Linked DNA regions of Arabidopsis thaliana. The protein of the gene in region 4 interacts with the protein of the main gene of each other region in a pairwise test. Each region holds a gene or a part of one and is shown on either strand. Other genes may lie near its edges. The genes, in order: PCFS4, AT1G66500, AT5G43620 and CLPS3.

Evidence for each region.
Region 1: the proteins of CLPS3 (region 4) and PCFS4 interact in a two-hybrid assay, tested with the Arabidopsis thaliana proteins (3 studies listed by BioGRID).
Region 2: the proteins of CLPS3 (region 4) and AT1G66500 interact in a two-hybrid assay, tested with the Arabidopsis thaliana proteins (one study listed by BioGRID).
Region 3: the proteins of CLPS3 (region 4) and AT5G43620 interact in a two-hybrid assay, tested with the Arabidopsis thaliana proteins (one study listed by BioGRID).

Annotation. Positions count from the first base shown.
Region 1 is NC_003075.7:2,469,978-2,476,536, reverse strand, and holds PCFS4 (PCF11P-similar protein 4), read right to left. Parts: upstream 4,672-6,559; 5' UTR 4,455-4,671; coding exon 4,122-4,454; intron 3,960-4,121; coding exon 3,858-3,959; intron 3,769-3,857; coding exon 3,529-3,768; intron 3,073-3,528; coding exon 1,882-3,072; intron 1,801-1,881; coding exon 1,285-1,800; intron 1,165-1,284; coding exon 1,120-1,164; 3' UTR 512-1,119; downstream 1-511.
Region 2 is NC_003070.9:24,810,574-24,814,682, reverse strand, and holds AT1G66500 (Pre-mRNA cleavage complex II), read left to right. Parts: upstream 1-2,021; 5' UTR 2,022-2,170; coding exon 2,171-3,421; 3' UTR 3,422-3,603; downstream 3,604-4,109. Other genes in the region: AT1G66510 (AAR2 protein family), read right to left, coding at 39-131, 237-463, 582-711, 909-968, 1,143-1,200, 1,315-1,397, 1,707-1,802.
Region 3 is NC_003076.8:17,520,613-17,524,513, forward strand, and holds AT5G43620 (Pre-mRNA cleavage complex II), read left to right. Parts: upstream 1-1,873; 5' UTR 1,874-2,040; coding exon 2,041-3,273; 3' UTR 3,274-3,391; downstream 3,392-3,901. Other genes in the region: SUC6 (sucrose-proton symporter 6), read left to right, coding at 227-396.
Region 4 is NC_003074.8:1,269,209-1,274,652, reverse strand, and holds CLPS3 (CLP-similar protein 3), read left to right. Parts: upstream 1-1,648; 5' UTR 1,649-1,848; exon of another isoform or gene 1,849-2,129; 5' UTR 2,130-2,237; coding exon 2,238-2,459; intron 2,460-2,939; coding exon 2,940-3,008; intron 3,009-3,089; coding exon 3,090-3,185; intron 3,186-3,270; coding exon 3,271-3,512; intron 3,513-3,597; coding exon 3,598-3,736; intron 3,737-3,844; coding exon 3,845-4,036; intron 4,037-4,123; coding exon 4,124-4,362; intron 4,363-4,464; coding exon 4,465-4,600; 3' UTR 4,601-4,892; downstream 4,893-5,444. Other genes in the region: ANX1 (Malectin/receptor-like protein kinase family protein), read left to right, coding at 1-1,267. UniProt on the Arabidopsis thaliana protein: Required for endonucleolytic cleavage during polyadenylation-dependent pre-mRNA 3'-end formation. Functions in gametophyte, embryo and postembryotic development.

The DNA.
Region 1 (6,559 bases), on a different chromosome or scaffold from region 4:
CTGTTAGCTCTCTCTTATCCCATTCAACCAACGGTCCAATTTTCTAACAAAGGCAAAATAAAAGGGCAATGATGTGTGTTCTTAACCTGATCTTTTGTTCTAGCTTAGTTCATATTGCATATTGCAAGCTGTTTTCTTATATTCATACTATAATAGACTATTTTCACAATGTATATAACAAACATGAATTTTACTCCAGCCATTACATCTATTGATCATCACATACTCTTGTTTAGAGACTAACGGTTGAGACAAAGCCAGATTTGAACTGAGTTTGCTCTGCAGTCCTATAAGGTACTACCAGAACTAAATCATAACCTTTAAATCTTTATAATTCCATATTTCAAATGTAACAGTCATGAAAAAACTCTAGTTTGATCGAGCAAAAAGCCAAGTAAGTTCGAAAGCTTTAACTATCGTTCAATCTACTTCGACATAAATCCGGCTCTGTATCATGTAGGTATGAAGATACAAGTAGTGGAAATTTCAAAAGCAAAAGGTTCAGATAGAAGAAAAGTAAAACTTGTTTCATTATAGACAAAGTCAAGAGAACAAATACGCTTAAAGAGAGTTATGTTAACTAACATTTTTAGCTAACAGCCTAACATAGAAAGGTAAAACTCAGACAGGGAAAGCTCTAAAGAAGAAACCTGAAACTGGTTCTCTTAGCAACAGCATCTATGAGATCCATTCATCATAAGAAATCTGTTCACATTCGAATATCAGTCTTCTCGGGCTTTCCCTGCAATATCTAAAGATGAAAAAGAAAAAGACAATCCGAAACAGAGACATTGTATTCCATTTACATGGGGAAACTACTGTTGCGACATCTGATTTTACTACTACAAGCACCCCAGGTTAGGTGTAGCAGAGAATGCAGAACAGTTACACGATATCCATGTCCTAAGGCACAACAGGAATTTAGAGGCATAAAGAATGATAATATATGTGGGTGTAAACCTCTTTTTTTCAATGGTACAGTTTTAGGAGAAAGAAGACTCTCTCCATCATTTCTCTTCATTGGTGGTATTCTGTGACTAAGTGCATATAGATGATGAAGAAATAAGAATGTAACTTAAATGTAGTCAAGAAAAAGACCTAAAATTCGGTCTAAGGGATCTAACTCCGCATCTTTTTCCTCTGACTACCCTCTTCCATATCACCCTGAAAAAGCCATGATCGGGAAATCAAGAGGTCGTCACTGGATAAATGTCTAGCAGCGAAAATGAAAATGGATTCAACTAGACACAAATGAAGCTAATGAAAATGCATGGAATGGCTTACCCCATTGGACTCTGGCCTGCACTTTGCATGCACTATAGGACCTAACTGAGACTTGTCCATATCTGTTGTTGATTCTTCAGGAGCATTCATGTATACCGCACCTTTGTACATCCATTCCTCGGTTTCATCACTATAAAAGTCTTCAAATGGCTCACCACATAATGCACATGAAGTTTGGTCTTCATCTGCAGGAACTGCCATATCTTCGTCATCCTTCTTTTCTGTTGTTGGCTCCGTGGGCAAGAACCCTGGTACTGCTTCAGCTCCAAGTGCTTCTGCACCACTGAGCCACATGCTAGCACTTACAAACCATTTCCGAGAAGGGTTCTGCTTATGGTTCTTGGACATCCTGTTCTTGGTTACATGCCAATCCATGTGCTTACTGTGCTCTTCTTGGCACTTGAAGCGTAGACCACAGGTTGTGCATTGCCTCGGGAGATCCCCATATAAAGCACTGATTGCAGACTCATTACGTATCTTGAGCATGTCTGCATCAAACTCCAACCCCAATGGTCCCTGAATATATAAACCAACAATTCAAGATAAAGCAATAACTAAGAACAAACCGACTCTCAAGGACATGATTTGAATAATTACCTGACCAGCAGGCTGATTGTTCAATGAGATCAAACCTTGAGCCATGAGAGAGCCAATCAGACCAGAGAATGCGCCACCTGGTGGTTGATTAGAGGCTCCTATCTGAGATAAAACTCCTGAAGAAAGAGGATGCATGGCTTCCCCACCTTGGATTGATAAAGATGGTCTAATGGTTGACCCATGTGGAGGGTACCCATGACTTACGTGGGTTAACAACGATTGCATTGGCCTTGGAGCCATAGCAGATGAGGATGGCAAATAATTAACTAGCATCTGATTCTGTTGAGTCATATCATTAAGATGACTCTGAGAGACCTGGTTTTCGGGCCTATATAAAGGCTTACCTTGCAAGCGATTTGACATCGCATTACCGGGATTTGCCAAATGATGCAAATGAGCAGAAGGTACAGGGAGAGAGTTGGGTCCTCTAGCACTCAAATGGGGCCATGTCCCATCAGGAAGAGCCCGGCCAAAACGTGAGTTAACATCTTGAATGCTATCAAATGGAGGAGCCCCGAATTCACTGTTTGATGAAACTAACCCTACAGATGAAGCCAATACTTTCAAGTCTTTTCCTGCTCTTGTATCAACACGGTTGGATGTATGTGGATAATTTTGTGACAAACTCCAATTTTCTCGTAGCTGATGACTTACACCATTCTTAATGTCAGAATCTAAATGAAAATCACTTGTGTTTCCTACTCTGGGTCTTGCCCTTACACTTCCTAATGCTGGTACAGATGATCGCAAAAATTCACCAGCTCTGCTACGATCTAGGGTAGGGCTCATATCTTCCCAATCAAACTCTTCTTCCTCAGTGTTCTGCCATGGTGTAACCATCTTACTGTGCATGCCATTCATATCGCGAATTGGTTTATTGATCGTTACGTGTTTGCTGGTGTCAACTCCATATGCATCTATCAACGCTCTAGGTCTTTCGTGATCATTTCCTTGGCCTAAGTTTTCCTTTCTTCGCCATTCCATATGTTCATCATCTCTGCTAGTAGCTCGACCCATTCCATAGTTAAAAGCTTGATTAGAAGGATTAGCTCCATCATTAGACCTCCTGGTAAAACCATCTGGTGTACTAGACAGTGAAGATGGGCTCTCTAACTGATCTTCGAAATCATTATACCCACCGAGTGAATTTTGGCCATAAACTCTTGCACTGGAATTAATTCCTCTCAAATTCTGCATGTCAAGCAAGAGCAATTAAGGAAATATGCATCTCAGGTATAGTCACTCTTTGAAAAAAAACATATAAAAACAGTTCCAAACGACACATGATGCATAAACAGTGATCTACTGTACTATAACCAAAAAAAAACCCTCTACATGTGCTAACAAGATCATTTCTAATGTACCAGAGTCCCAGTGACCTACTCATCATGTATAACTGAGAGAGGCCATAACAACAACTCCCTTCCAGTCAAGATTGATTACTTGAAGAATGTAAACATCTATCTCGTCTAACTAACAAAACTTTAAAGAAATACAATGGATAAGACCACTATGAGGCCAAACTAATCTAATACCCGTTTTACTTAGTACACTTATATAAAATTAACACACCATAGCTTCAAGGTTGCAGATGCACCTAAAAAAAGAATGTCATCTCTGTTCATAATGACAAAGAGAAAGGCTTACATTTTCGGCGGCTGAGGGCTCCAGCCTGCGAAGATATTTTGGATTAACATGTATACCTCTCGTTGGTTGACTAGGCTCAGAAGCCCCTACGGAAGATTGGTTTGCTGCAGATGAAAGTTGCAATTGCATATCAATCTTGCGTAGTACAGGTGGTGGAAAAACACTCGACCAAGTCCCAAACAGGTGACGCATTGACGGATGTAAACTCGGATGTGCTTGCCTATATGCAAGGCAGAAGACCTAAAGCAGAATAGGATCAAAACAGCTCATGGGTATGCTTCAGCCCTATTCAAATCATTTAAGTAAACATCTTCTTGTAGACTGCTCACCTCGGGTAGACGGGATGAGAAATAGCGACCATAATCCCGCCCAATGTTCTTAACAATGCTGTCTAAAAGATACAGAGATGGCAACTTTTGCTCAACAGGAGCCTGCATATATACACCCACAGGTAACTCAGAAGCAGCCATTTCACTAAACCACAAACCAAACACTAATCTCTGACAATCAAAAACCTAATTTTTTTCCCACTTCTACACTTACATACTATACAATAAGGCTAGAAAGTGGAAACAAATAAGAAGAAAGCAAACCTCAAGGATTCGAGTGCAAATAGCATTAGCGATTCCTTCACCATGTTCCCGTTGTTCACCAGCGATAATAGTGAGATCAGTGATAATAGGCTTAGAATTGAAAGTAAGCTCACCCAAAACAACCTCATAAAGCTGAACAATCTCATCCATACTCGGAGGCAAAACCTCTTCACCACCACCGAACTCATCTTCACGCTGATTAAGCAAAGCTTTAAACCGGTCTAACAACGACGGCGGTGGCGGCGGTTTCTGCGGCAACTCAACGGACATACCTTTGCGGCTGGTGCTATTAATCGAAACAAGTCTTGGATTGAGGATTTTCTCTGAGTCCATCCCCAATTCAATAGTGAAGAGTGATAATTAGTGGCAGCATAAAGGCTCTAGGGTTTCTGTTCCACCATGGAAACTCCTCGAATCGCCACCCTTGTGGGGGAAGAGAGAGATAGAGATCGATAACGGAAGTTTTTTTTTTTTTAGTGAAGAGGATTTTTTTTTCTTCTCAATTTTGTATCTCTACTTTATGCAAATCTCATTTTTGTCCCTTTTTTTTTAGAGTTATCAACTACATCCCAATTATTGTTTTTACCCGTTTTGAGTCACACAGATTTTTGACTTTTACTATGACCTCATCAATTAATCACGTTGCAATTCTCTTCTTTCCCTTATTTGAAAAGTTTGATCTTGCCTCTTGGTGACACTAAATTTAGTTTTGAGGAACTATTTCATTTCTTAGCTTATTTATCTATCTTGATAAAGTTTGAATCTATCTTGTTTTGATTCTACTCATGGACTATGAATGATTTTTTTTTTGGTAGACAATTAGATTTTATATTATTTTTGATTTTTGACAGAAATACAGAGATTAGCAAGAAGCGGATTAAAACAATCTACAAAAATAAATACAACATTACAACTCTAATTCATTCAGTTCGCTTTTATGCGTTCAAGGCTAAGTTACGAGTTGAAACACCGATTTTGAACTCGTGAAACTCGGAAATTTGTGTGGTTGTCACATGACCGAAAAAGTGGAATTCTCATGGTAGTTGCCACGAGCATATCTTCGAGAACTTGATTCAAATTGATACAGTTAAAAACACCACCATCAAACCACGTCCTTGTTACGTTTCTTTAAGTTATATTAAAAAAATGTTGGATTAGTTGTATAAAATCCTATAAGGGTTTGAGTTTATTATTACATAATTATAATTATATAGCTTCCTATTTTATAAGTTTAAATTTAATATTTGTTAGTTCCTTTGTTTTTACATTTTAAAATATAAAGTAATTGCTATTTTCAAAAATGTTAATTAATTAGATGCTAAATATGTTAATTATTGATGTGGCAGCTCCCGATTGGTTGTTTTCAAAAATGTTAATTAATTAGATACTAAATATGTTAATTATTTATGTGGCAACTCCCGATTAGTCGTTCTAAATCCTAGGTTATGAATCCACGCTACGCATGGGTCTATTTGTAAAACTTTTTAATATTTTTTTGTGTGAATAAAATTATTATAGAAATTTTTTAAAAGATATGTTTTTATATGTCTACTTGTTGTTAATATTATAAACTCTTTGAATTTTAAAATTACCATGACAATAGTTACAATTTAAATACAAAACTAAAAATAACTTTAATACAACTTTTAGGTTTACAACATTTATCAAAAGAACATTTTTTTGGCTCATGACTCTCTCTTTAGCTTTAGATATTTAGGATCACGACGTCTTTTTATGTATGAAATAAATTGTTTTATGGAAAATAACTTCGACGACTTTCTCATTTTGAAATCCGTAAATTTACTATTCTTTTTTGTTTATCTTCGCTGCATTAGTTAGTATAGCTCGTCTAAAAATAAGATATTATATAGAAGTATATTCATAAGCTTATCTATACTTTACTTTAACAACTCATATTTTCTCACATTCTTTTCAATATGTATATGAATTTCTGTCTTCACAATTTTTTTACAAAGAGCTATCACTCTCCCTATCTTTTTGCAAGCACTCGTTTTATTTGTTTCATTTTTTCTTACAGTGTCTCTTTCCATCCTCTTATGATTTTGTTTAAGCAATATGTGTCATACCTTCTAAACTTTTCACATGTTCCATATTTTTTCTTCGAAAATCTCTTTCTTCTCTAGTTAGTACTAGGGCGAAACCCGAACCAAATCGCGGGCTTTTTTTATTAAAAAATGTAATTTTGTTAAGTTGTATGTAGGTATTGAATGTTATTTGTCATGATTCATGATATATGTAGAACAAAAGAATTCATTAGAAAGTGATTAAGAGCTCAATGCATTTGTTAATTTTTTAAAGTAAGATCTATATAGCTTTTATAAGTTTTGGAAGCTAATTTTTTTGTATTACGAACATCTTTTTAGAAGAGTCATTAAAAAACAAAAGTGAAAAGAGTTAAAAATCACCAGGTGCTGATT
Region 2 (4,109 bases), on a different chromosome or scaffold from region 4:
GCTTCTAATAAGTACATGTTACGGTAGGTAGCACATACCAAAAATGCAACAAATGAAAATTGTAGCTCCCCAAGTAGCAAGTCTTCCGAGTCTTTGTACTCTTTTGACAATACGCTTTCTAGCAATTGAGTCTATACAAAGAAAAATAGAGGAAATGGCTTCACATGAATTTTGAGATTCAAAGTTCAAACATCTACTGAAAATGTAAAGAGGAAGGATCAAGTAAGAGGAGATACCTTGTCAAGATTCATAGAGGTTAGCTCCTGTCCAGACATTCCCTTGTGCTTTATAATCCGAGGAATAGACGTGTAGTAAAACCTATTCCCTTTAGGTTGCTCAGTAGATGATGTCGTAAACTTGCTTTTTTTCATCTGCGTATCAAGTGCTATTTCCATTGCCGTTTTAGGTCCACCTTTTAGAATAGCAGATTCATATGTGACTGTTATTTCTCCTCCAACTGGCTCTGCAAAATTGAACATAAAATTTTTGAACAAGCCAAACTTTACAGTGTTCACTACTCGAGTGAGGGAAAACATTAACAATGTGGTTAAAGAATCCTCCAAATTATAAGGTTCACATACCAAACTTTTCAACAACATCCTTTGTAATGTAGTTAGATAAGTGCCTCCACTCCCCATATTGCTTTAAATTGTATGGGCCAAGATTTTTGTCAAACTCTAAAGACCTGACTGCTTGAGAATATCTCTCTTCCTAGCAACAAAAGAGCAGAATAAATATAAATAAGCCAGCACTAATTCTCAAGCCTACTAACTAATGGCTCATGCAACATGATTTGATTATATTCCTATCTAGCAGGCATTGAACAAATATCACAAAGAGGCAAATCGCTGACCAACATATACGCAACATTGAGAAAATTACTGCACTAGGTTATTAAAAGGACATACCTCTTCTTCAGACACTTTGGTTAACCACTCGTCTTGCTGATTCCATTTGCGTACAATAACCTTGTATATTCAACAAAAGATAGTAAATATATATCTACTTACAATATATACAGTTTCATGGTGCTACTAACAGGATATCACAGAGAGACAAGAACATTACTAAATGTTTTCTCTGTAATAGCGATCTATATAGATAACTACAAACACAAACTATTCAAAGTTGTGATTCCAAACCTGAGAAGGGGCAACATCAACAAAGAAGCCAATGGTGGGTGAAAACTCTCTACCATCCCTGAAGATAAGAAAATGAAAGTCTGCATTATCAGCCAAAGCATATCGATAACCATGGTACGGTTTTTAATGAGTACGACATCACAAATTTAAAAAACCATTTAAAGACTTAAACCTTGTCGATGAACTATAGAATACAAAGTGAATTCCAGGAGGTATCATCTTAATCCCTTTGAAAGCTGGTCCAACTGCGAATATCTGTAACCACAATACAAAACATTGTCGTTATAGGCCAATGAATATGCTCAAGAAATATGTTTCACAATCATACAGAAATCAAAATCCATAGCCAATAAAGAATCTTCAAAAGCTCAAAAACCTCAAATTTTAATCATATTCAAACTCAAAATACACTTTCTTCTCGAGATATTTACTAAACCAAAAAGAAACTATACAAGGAGAATCAGTTCCACATTAAAAAGCTTTAAACTTGGAATAAAGTAACAAACTTTGAAACTGAGAAAAGTTGAAATTCGATAAAAGCTTTAAACTTAGAAGTAGACAAACCTGAGTATCGATTCCGACCAGTGTATATTGAGGAACATCGAGAAATAGAAGTGTAGCTCCATGCTTCACAAGCTCTAGTGCCTTCTCAGAATCCATAGCTTCCTTCTTCTTCGTCTTCACTAATTTAGCGTCGAATTCAATAAAGAACAGCAAAATACAGAGCGGAACAACGAGTAGATTCCAGAAGGCCCAATTTAACAGGCCCATTAACAAACTGGGCCTATAAACCGTGGCCCAAAACACGTGACAACGCGCGATTCACGCGGTTTACTTTATCAACCGACATAAACGTTTATTTATAGAGAAACCTATCTTCGCGTCTCTTCAGATTCGTTTTATTTTTCAATCGTTTCAATTTCTAAAATTCTCCTCTCTCAACGCAATCACCAAATCCAAATTTAGGGTTTCTTTTCTCTTTCTGCGATCGATCTCTGAAAACTCATAACTGTTGTTTAATCGTGAAGATGGCATCAAACGGATCTTTCTCTGCTCAGAGAAACGCAAACGCTAGAACAACGATGAAGAGAAGAAGCGACAATCGCGGTTACGGTGGCGGAATCGGAGGTTATCAAGAGGAGACGAACCGTTACGCGCCGCCGCAAAAACGTTTCAGATCACAAGCGCAACAGCAATTCCGATCTGGTCATAATCCTCTGTATCATCATCATGGTAGTAATAATAATAACGTGTCTAGGGTTTCTTCTCAATCATATAACAATTGCGGTGTTGATGTGATTGCTTCTAATTCAAGTTTTGCATTACGTAACAATGATTCTAACACCAACAATTATCAGAAACCCTTTGTTGCTGGTTATGGAAACCCTAATCCCCAAATTGTTCCTCTTCCATTACCTTATCGTAAGCTTGATGACAATCTCTCTTTAGATTCGTTACCTGATTGGGTTCCGAATTCAAGAACCCTAACTCCGAATTATCCTGTTAGGTCATCGAATTTTGTACCAAACACTCCTGTTTTTACGAATGTTCAAAATCCGATGAATCATTCGAACATGGTTTCAGTTGTGTCTCAATCTATGCATCAACCAATTGTTTTGAGCAAAGAATTGACTGATTTGCTTAGTCTTCTTAACAATGAGAAAGAGAAGAAAACTTTAGAAGCAAGTAATAGTGATTCTTTGCCTGTTGGATTAAGCTTTGATAATCCATCGTCACTTAATGTTCGACATGAATCTGTGATTAAGTCTCTGTATTCTGATATGCCGAGACAATGTTCATCGTGTGGGTTGAGATTCAAGTGTCAAGAAGAGCATAGTAAACACATGGATTGGCATGTAAGGAAGAACAGGTCGGTGAAAACCACTACAAGACTGGGTCAGCAACCGAAGAAATCGAGGGGATGGTTAGCAAGTGCATCTTTATGGCTTTGTGCAGCGACGGGAGGAGAGACGGTAGAAGTAGCATCTTTTGGAGGAGAAATGCAGAAGAAGAAAGGAAAGGACGAAGAACCAAAACAACTCATGGTGCCTGCGGATGAAGATCAGAAGAATTGCGCATTATGCGTAGAGCCGTTTGAAGAGTTCTTTAGCCATGAAGATGATGATTGGATGTATAAAGATGCAGTCTACTTAACCAAGAATGGTCGTATAGTTCATGTTAAGTGTATGCCTGAACCCCGACCTGCTAAGGATTTGAGAGAGCCTTCGAGGGTAATGTCTGTTACAGTTCCATCGGTTGCGAAAGCTATAGCCTGCTGATTGAGATTTTTAAGATCTCTGTTTTAGTCATTCGTTTTTTTAAGTAATGTACTTTACTTGAACAAGTTGTAACACAAATACAGTTCTATCAATTGAATCTCCTATTTTACTCTTATCGCCTCTTTACTCTTATGTGTCATTTAATGAATATTCATGCTTCTATATCTCTGTTTTAATCGTCGTTTAGTGTTGAAAAATCATCAAAAAAGTTGTAACTATATTAATCAGAAAAGATTAACGAAATGCTTTAGTTTACACTTAATAACAGAGACAAACGTGAAGCTCGTCTTCTTTTGATTCTCCTTAGGGTTTCTTACTTCGAGAAGAAGACAGAGTAATTCTCACAAACTTGTTTTGCTAATAAACGTTATAAAGCTTTTCAAAATCCTTTTTCAACCCTAATAGTTGATGAGAAATCGAAAAACAAACGAAGAACAATGATAATTCTGTTATTTCACATAAAGTCTCAAATGACAAATACAATGAAACACTCTATTTAAAGTAGAGTGTTTCGGTTTAACCAGGGAAATCACACTTGATTACCTGTTTACATAAACCAGACTCTCTATACCACTAAACCGAAATAAGGAAACCTTGAAACCTAATCGTCCCATGAATGTGCAATTAGCTTTTTCCCTAATTCCTTTGTGTATCTATATATATGTATGGACATTATCATTCTAATGAG
Region 3 (3,901 bases), on a different chromosome or scaffold from region 4:
AAGATTACAATTTTTTTATTACGTTTTTATTATTTATAACGTTGTAAATTTATGGTGATATCTGTTATCTACTAACTTAATTAGATTGATTAATTGATATTCTTACGGATTTGGTTTTCGTTAACCATAAGGAATTTGCTATATCAATAGAAAACAGTAATCGTTTTGTGTAACATAAATATTAAAGTGTCAAATTAAGGATGTGTTCTTTTTGTTGTCATCGCAGGACTCTCTCTAGGCGTTTTAAACATGACAATAGTGATACCACAAATGGTTGTATCATTTGGAGTTGGTCCTATTGATGCGTTATTTGGAGGTGGGAATTTACCAGGATTTGTGGTTGGAGCTATTGCAGCGGCAATCAGCAGTGTTGTGGCATTTTCCGTTTTACCATAATTTTTTTTGCGTTTTATTTGGTATATATGGACATGTTTAATATTATTGTAGCACTAGATAAGGACCCATACATGTATACTTGAAATTAATTTAAATTTCTCCTGTTAAATTACTGAAATTAATTTAAAATTTATGGCAGTTCTTACAAATAACACAAAAAATAAGTTAATTCCAAATTTAGCAAATCATCTCCAAAGTTCCAAAGTAACACAAATTAAATACATAAAACTTTTTTTTTTAACTTTATGGATGAATTAGGAAAATGTCGCCTAAAGATAAAAAAACAATTCTCTTGAAAAAAAAATATTCTTATATACCACGGTTTAAAACATTTTGTTCCAAATTGACTCTTAATTCCCACAAATTTTCTTTCTCTGATGGTAGATTATATGAGTCACAAAATTATCATTATTCGGTAGTAACTATTATTTTCTTTGTTTCTTATTAATTAATTTTTTAGAAAAAAAAGTTTGTTTCATGAAGCAATTTTTTAGGTTTTCTATACACTATTTATTAGTTATTATTGATGAATTTTAAACTTCAAGACAAATAATTAAATATCAGTAGTTTAAAATTATATAAAAATGTAAATCACAAAAGTTAATACATTTATAATCAATTTTAACATGTTTTTTTTAATCTATGTATTTTTTTCTAAAAAATGAATAATTAAAACATGACTAAATTTTGGCGACTTTCTATATCGTTTTGGCTAGTTTAATTATTTTATATTTTAATTATTTACAAAGATTGATATTACTGTCTTCTTTTCTTTTCTATTTTTGAACTATATATCACTCGTAAAAACTTCATCTTACACAAAAAAAGAAAAAAAGGTGATACATACGAATCTAAAGACCTGACTGCTTGAGAATACCTCTCTTCCTGGCATCAAAGGGATTGAAAAGAATGAAAATTGCGCTGACCAACGTATAAGCAGGATTGTTAAATTTACTGCACTAGGTTATTAAAAGGCCATACCTCTTCTTCAGATACTTTGTTTAACCACTCGTCTTGCTGATTCCATTTGCGTACAATAACCTTGTTTAGTCAACAAAAGATAGTGAATATATATTCACTTACGGTTTATACAGTTCCATGGTGCTACTAACAGGATATCACAGAGACCAGAGACCAGAACATTACTAAATGACATTTGAGGAATTTGATAAAAGTTCAAATTCGATAAAAGCTTTAAACTTTGAAGAAGTAGTTAACAAACCTGAGTATCGATTCCAACAAGCGTATGCTGAGGAACATCGAGAAAGAGAAGCGTAGCTCCATGCTTTACAAGCTCTAGTGCCTTCTTAGAATCCATAGCTTCCTTCTTCAAAATAGAGCGGAACAACGACTATATTCCAGAAGCCCCATTAAACAGGCCCATTAAAATATTGGGCCTATAAAGCGTGGCCCAAAACATGTGACAACGCGCGATTCACGCGGTTTACTTTATCAACCGACATAATCACATAAACGTTTATTTATAGAGAAACCTATCTTCCTGCCTCTTCAGATTCGTTTTATTTTTCAATCGTTTCAATTTCTAAAATTCTCAACGCGATCACCCCAATCCAAATTTAGGGTTTCTTTTGTCTTTCTGCGATCGATCTCTGGTAACTCATAACTTGTTGTTGAATCGCGAAGATGGCATCAAACGGATCCTTCTCTGCTCAGAGAAACGCAAACGCTGGAACAACGATGAAGAGACGAAACGACAATCGCGGTTACGGTGGCGGAATCGGATGTTATCAAGAGGAGAGGAACCGTTACGCGCCGCCGCAAAAACGTTTCAGATCGCAACTGCAACAGCAATTCCGATCTGGTCATAATCCTCTGTATCATTATGGTAGTAATACTAATAATAACGTGTCTAGGGTTTCTTCTCAGTCATATAACAATTACGGTGTTGATGTGATTGCTTCTAATTCAAGTTTTGCTTTACCTAACAATGATTCTAACACCAACAATTATCAGAAACCCTTTGTTGTTTATGGAAACCCTAATCCCCAAATTGTTCCTCTTCCATTACCTTATCGTAAGCTTGATCCTTTAGATTCGTTGCCTCAATGGGTTCCAAATTCAACTCCGAATTATCCTGTTAGGTCATCGAATTTTGTACCAAACACACCTGATTTTACGAATGTTCAAAATCCGATGAATCATTCGAACATGGTTTCAGTTGTGTCTCAATCGATGCATCAACCAATTGTTTTAAGCAAAGAATTGACTGATTTGCTTAGTCTTCTTAACAATGAGAAAGAGAAGAAAACTTCAGAAGCAAGTAATAATGATTCATTGCCTGTTGGATTAAGCTTTGACAATCCATCATCGCTTAATGTTCGACATGAATCTGTGATTAAGTCTCTGTATTCTGATATGCCGAGGCAATGTACTTCGTGTGGGGTGAGATTCAAATGTCAAGAAGAGCATAGTAAACATATGGATTGGCACGTAAGGAAGAACAGGTCGGTGAAAACCACTACAAGACTTGGTCAGCAACCGAAGAAATCGAGGGGATGGTTAGCGAGTGCATCTTTATGGCTTTGTGCACCAACGGGAGGAGGGACCGTAGAAGTAGCATCTTTTGGAGGAGGAGAAATGCAGAAGAAGAATGAAAAGGATCAAGTACAAAAACAACACATGGTGCCTGCGGATGAAGATCAGAAGAATTGCGCGTTATGCGTAGAGCCGTTTGAAGAGTTCTTTAGCCATGAAGCTGATGACTGGATGTACAAAGATGCAGTCTACTTAACCAAGAATGGTCGTATAGTTCATGTTAAGTGTATGCCTGAACCCCGACCTGCTAAGGATTTGAGAGAGCCGTCGAGGGTAATGTCTGTTACAGTTCCATCGGTTGCGAAAGCTATACTCTGCTGATTGAGATTTTTTATATCTCTGTTTTAGTCATTCGTTTTTTTAAAAGTAAATGTACATTACATTAATCAAGATGTAACACAAATACAGTTCTATCAATTGAATCTCCTATTTTACTCTTATCACCTCTTTACTTTTAATCCGGAGTTATAGAGTCTGTTTTATTGTAATCCAGAATTATAGTATAGATTGTTCCGGATTAACCAGTGAAATCTCACTTGATTCCCGGTTTACATAAACCAGACTCTCTATACCAATAAACCGAAACAAGGAAACCAATTCCTTTGTGTAACTCTCTATATTTATTCTCATTCTAATGAGATAACACATTCACAATCTATAAGTATAATGATGATGTCTGATCTTCCGGTGGCTTTGGTAGAAGAGATACTCTCTAGGGTTCCATTAACATCTCTAAGCGCGGTGCGATCTACTTGTAAAACGTGGAACGCTGTAGGATTAACATCTCTGTAGACTTATATTGGTATATGGTTTATGCGTAAGATTTCTCTTTTAAACCTTTTAAAAGAAGAATCTTTTATTTTGTTAGGTAACCCCTCGTCGGCCCTTTAAGTTTCTTACACCACGTGATCGGTTATCCTATGTATATACTACGTTCGTGAATGACCTA
Region 4 (5,444 bases):
CGCTTTCATCATTGGTTCGGCCGGAGGAGTTTTAGCGGTTTTAATCGGTGCCTTGTGTTTCACGGCCTACAAGAAGAAACAAGGATATCAAGGAGGCGACTCTCACACATCAAGTTGGCTTCCTATATATGGAAACTCTACCACATCAGGAACCAAATCAACCATCTCAGGGAAGAGCAACAATGGAAGTCACCTATCCAATCTCGCAGCAGGTTTATGCCGTAGATTCTCTTTACCAGAAATCAAACACGGAACACAAAACTTCGATGATTCCAACGTCATTGGAGTTGGAGGGTTTGGTAAAGTCTACAAAGGAGTTATAGACGGCACAACTAAAGTAGCGGTAAAAAAATCAAACCCAAATTCAGAACAAGGACTCAACGAATTCGAGACAGAAATCGAACTCCTCTCAAGACTAAGACACAAACACTTAGTCTCCTTGATAGGATACTGCGACGAGGGAGGAGAAATGTGTCTCGTATACGATTACATGGCATTTGGAACACTCCGTGAGCATCTATACAACACAAAGAAACCACAATTAACTTGGAAACGAAGGCTAGAGATAGCTATTGGAGCAGCAAGAGGATTACATTACCTTCACACAGGAGCAAAGTACACGATTATACACAGAGACGTTAAAACAACTAACATCCTCGTAGATGAGAACTGGGTAGCCAAAGTTTCAGACTTTGGGTTATCCAAAACTGGACCTAACATGAATGGAGGCCATGTAACAACCGTCGTCAAAGGAAGCTTCGGTTATTTAGATCCTGAATACTTCAGAAGACAACAACTGACTGAGAAATCAGACGTTTACTCATTCGGAGTTGTTCTGTTCGAAATCTTATGCGCAAGACCAGCGTTAAACCCGAGTTTGCCTAAGGAACAAGTGAGTCTCGGAGACTGGGCAATGAATTGCAAACGAAAAGGGAATTTAGAGGATATAATCGATCCGAATCTGAAAGGGAAGATCAATGCAGAGTGTTTGAAGAAATTTGCAGACACGGCGGAGAAGTGTCTTAACGATAGTGGATTAGAACGGCCGACAATGGGAGATGTTTTGTGGAATCTCGAATTCGCACTTCAGCTTCAAGAGACTGCTGACGGGACTCGTCATCGGACTCCGAATAATGGAGGAAGCTCTGAGGATCTCGGTAGAGGAGGCATGGCGGTTAACGTCGCCGGTAGAGATGATGTGAGTGATCTCTCCTCAGAGGACAATACCGAAATATTCTCTCAGATTGTAAATCCCAAAGGACGATAAGGTAATTTCGCAATACGTATACTAATTTTGTTTTTCTTCTCTTAATTTTGGTGTTAAAGTTTTTGTTTTTGTGTTAATTGCAGGATTAGAAAAGGAATCTGGGTAACAAAATTTGAAGATGATTTCATTTATATTGAGTGGTATTTTTCAATAAAAACATTTGTAAAATTATATCCCTTTGTGATGTTACATGTAATCAAAAATACATTGTATTAAGATTCGTAGTTAGAATTTTTCTATGGTAAATTTTTGTATTAAGTTATATTTTACTGAGTTTATTAAGCTAGAAACAAATTATTATATTAACCGGAAAACTGTATAGTAGAAAAATGGAAAAGGTTGTTCAGGTCGGTTAACGGCTCAAACCGGGATTAATTCGTTTTCCAATTTTGCCTTAATCGAAAAAATGGAAATTACAGCGATATAAACCTAAAGTAAATTGATTTCGTAAGTCGAATTCACTGTTTCTCCTCAAACACACACACACGTTTGCGAATCTCCGACGTCCGTTTCTCCTCGCCGTAGAATCGCCGTTCATTCTTTCGCCGCCTTCAGTCTTCCCTCCATTGACCCTTTTTTTGGTAATTCGTCTTCTTTTTGCTCTCTCGTTCTCTCTTTTTCGATTTCTGGGTACAGAAATCGATGGCTCTCGTTTTTCTTTCTCTGTTGCTGTTCTATTACTTTCTCTTATATATATATGATTGTTACTCTAGTGATGAATTTTGATACATTGGTTGTTTGAAATTGATCTCTGTTGTGCTTTTATAATTCCGGGGTCAAGATTGGCTGTTTAAATCTAGTAAAGTTTGCATTTTTCTTTTCTGTTTGCAGAGATTAACTTGATTATACTTTTGTTTTTAAGAAGAAGAAGAGCGATTACAAGCGCAAGTGTGTATAATGACTTAAAGAGAGCTCCTGTTACTCCGAGTGATAGATAGTCTACAATTATATCTTACTCTGAGTGAAAGCAATGGCGTACGGTGGTCCGTCCATGAATCCACCGGCTTTGAGTGGAGCTGTTCCCGGGTCTGCTAATCTGAAGCAAGTGAAATTGGAGAGAGAAAGCGAGCTCAGGATCGAAGTCTCTGAAGAGCCTCTCAGACTCCGTGTGGTTAACGGGACCGCTGAGATTTTTGGCTCTGAACTGCCTCCTGAAATATGGCGTACCTTCCCTCCTCGCATGAAATTTGCGGTATGTGTTTTCTTAATCCTTGGTTTTTAGAGCGATCGTAAGCATTATGCTTTATGGCTTATAGATAAAATGTAGCTTGTTGGTAACATATTTGGTGTTGGGTTTGTTGGTAGAAAATAACTAGCCATTCTTGATTTAGTTTCTTTTAGTGGTTATCTTTCTTAAAGTGGGTTCTTGAGTTACTATTGAATTCACCCTCTGGCCTTTTGGGGTTGGAAAGGTACATCCTTTGCCAGTGAAGTTTGAGGGTTTTTGGGTTTGAGTTGGATGAAAGACTTATGATTTAGGTTGTAAATGAAGATTATGCTGTCTAGGTAAGAATTGTTAAGTGGGTTGTATAAAAAGATTGATGATAGATGTGATTTTCCCCCCCAATTTCTTTCTTTTCTATTTTTCCTTCTGCTAATGATTTATGTAAAGTTCATAATCGGAGCTCTGAAACACCGTGCTTACCATCTTGTGCCTTTTGATTATTGTCAGGTTTTCACTTGGTATGGAGCGACAATTGAGATGGATGGTGTCACGGAAACTGACTATACAGCAGATGAGGTTGGATTACTTGTTTCATTCCTACGCTTGCTTTAAATATGTAGAGCAAATTTTGTTTACTAACTACATCTCTGTTTCCAGACGCCGATGGTCAGCTACATTAATGTGCATGCCATACTAGATGCAAGGAGACGTTTTGCCAAAGCTTCCACATCTAATGACCCAGAATCTTCTCAGGTACTTTTCTTCGATATTCAATATTATTGTATTGCAATATCAGCATAGTTAAAACACTTGGTTCTTAAGAATTCACTTAATGCAGGGACCTCGGGTTATTGTAGTAGGGCCTACGGATTCCGGGAAGAGCACATTGACAAAGATGCTCCTTAGTTGGGCAGCTAAACAGGGATGGAGACCTACATTTGTAGACCTTGATGTTGGCCAAGGCTCGATTACAATACCAGGATCTATTGCTGCTGCCCCTATTGAAATGCCACTGGATCCAGTTGAAGGGTTTCCTCTTGATATGGCCCTTGTTTACTACTACGGCCACGCATCACCAAAGTAAGTGATTCTCAAATTTCTCCTACCCATCATACGTTATTCCCCTCGATGAGGAATTTAAATATGTCTACTTTGGCTCTCTCAGTATGAACGTTGAACTGTACAAAGCTCTGGTGAAAGAGCTTGCTCAAGTTCTGGAGAAACAGTTTGTCGGAAACCCTGAATCGCGAGCTGCTGGAATGGTGATCAACACAATGGGATGGATCGAGGGGATTGGTTATGAGGTAAAAGTTAGATCCTTTTTAGCGTATTTTTTGGTATAGTTAGCTCCTTCTTAGTGGATTTCATTATGCAAATGCCTGATAAAGAACTGTATCTGCTTCGTCTTGCAGCTGCTTCTCCACGCAATAGACACATTCAATGCCTCGGTTGTACTTGTATTGGGTCAGGAAAAACTCTTCAGCAGGCTTAAAGATGTGCTGAGAAGTAAGAGTAATGTCGACGTCGTGAAGCTTCACAAGTCTGGTGGAGTTGTAGCCAGGGTCAAAGAGGTCCGTAAAAGATCAAGGAACTTTAAGATTCAGGTAAAATTTTCAATCTCAAATCTTTTAATATCCCTTTTTTCATGCCTTTGGAGGTGTAACTCAGAACTCAAAAACTGAATTTTCCAGGAATATTTTTACGGTTTATCGAAAGAACTCTCTCCGTATGCCAATACATCGAGTTTCAGTGATCTGCAAGTGTTCCGAATTGGTGGTGGACCACAAGCGCCAAAATCGGCTCTTCCAGCCGGGTCTACCTCGGTTTCAAATCCGTTGCGGGTGACGCCTGTAAATATCGATGATCGGGATCTGCTGCATTCTGTTCTTGCTGTCTCATACGCAGAAGAACCAGACCAGATCATCTCAAGGTAATCTCTAAAAGTTCTTGCTGTTTCCAGAATCAAAGGCTTTCGTGTATGTTTTCTTCGTGATTTTGATATTTCTTTCTCTCTGTTTTTTCTTTGATACAGCAATGTTTCTGGGTTTGTGTATGTGACGGAAGTTAATGTGCAGAAGAAGAAGATAACGTATTTAGCACCATCGCCTGGGACATTACCTAGCAAGTTGTTGGTCGCTGGATCATTGGCATGGCTTGAGTCAGTATGACTTACTTAGAGAAGAGAGGAGCCATGTTTTTTGCTTGAGAGAATGATGCAGCAGCTCGATTATGTAACGTTAATTACAAATAGCCTTTTTCTTCTTTATCAAATGCACAAGTTTTTGAGTTTAAAAGATCATTATTGCGGAATAGATGGTTGGTTGTAATTTGATGTTATGAAGTGAGCAAAAAATAATGTTGATTTACTAGTGCGTTAGTTCTGTTTGTTTGGTTCAGCATATTCAAGTGATGTGTGTAGCATTTTTAAATTTGATAGGTCGAACATATCTTATGTTATTGGATGATTTCGAAATAGTATATGATAATGTTCAAAGTCACACATGTATTATTATTGGTTATTAATTCAACTAAATTACTATCACATTTTAAGTCACTTCAATTGTATTGTTGTATAAGCTCTGTATTTAGAATCGGATCCGAAGAATATTAGTTGGTCTGTCTAACCAAGTCGCATTAATCTTATATGATTCTCCTAGAATAGAAAAGAATATTTTATTCTTATGCTAATTCAATTGAAAGATAATTAAAACGGATATGTTTTGAGTTCAAAATGTTAAAATTGTCATTCATTTGCAATAGACAAAACATATTTAGAAAATTCTAAATTTACATGCTACAAGATCTTCTATATGCTTTAATAGCCTCATTTTTTTTTTTAACCCTGCACATTAAATACAGAAAATTTCAATCATTTGACTGATGATTAGAGATTTATAGATATAAGAAGAAAGTTTCACTTATCATTGTGAATATGATAAAACAAGAATAATAAAAATATCGTATAATTAACAACAAGAACAACAAACACAAAAAAAAAAACAGAAAGAAAGA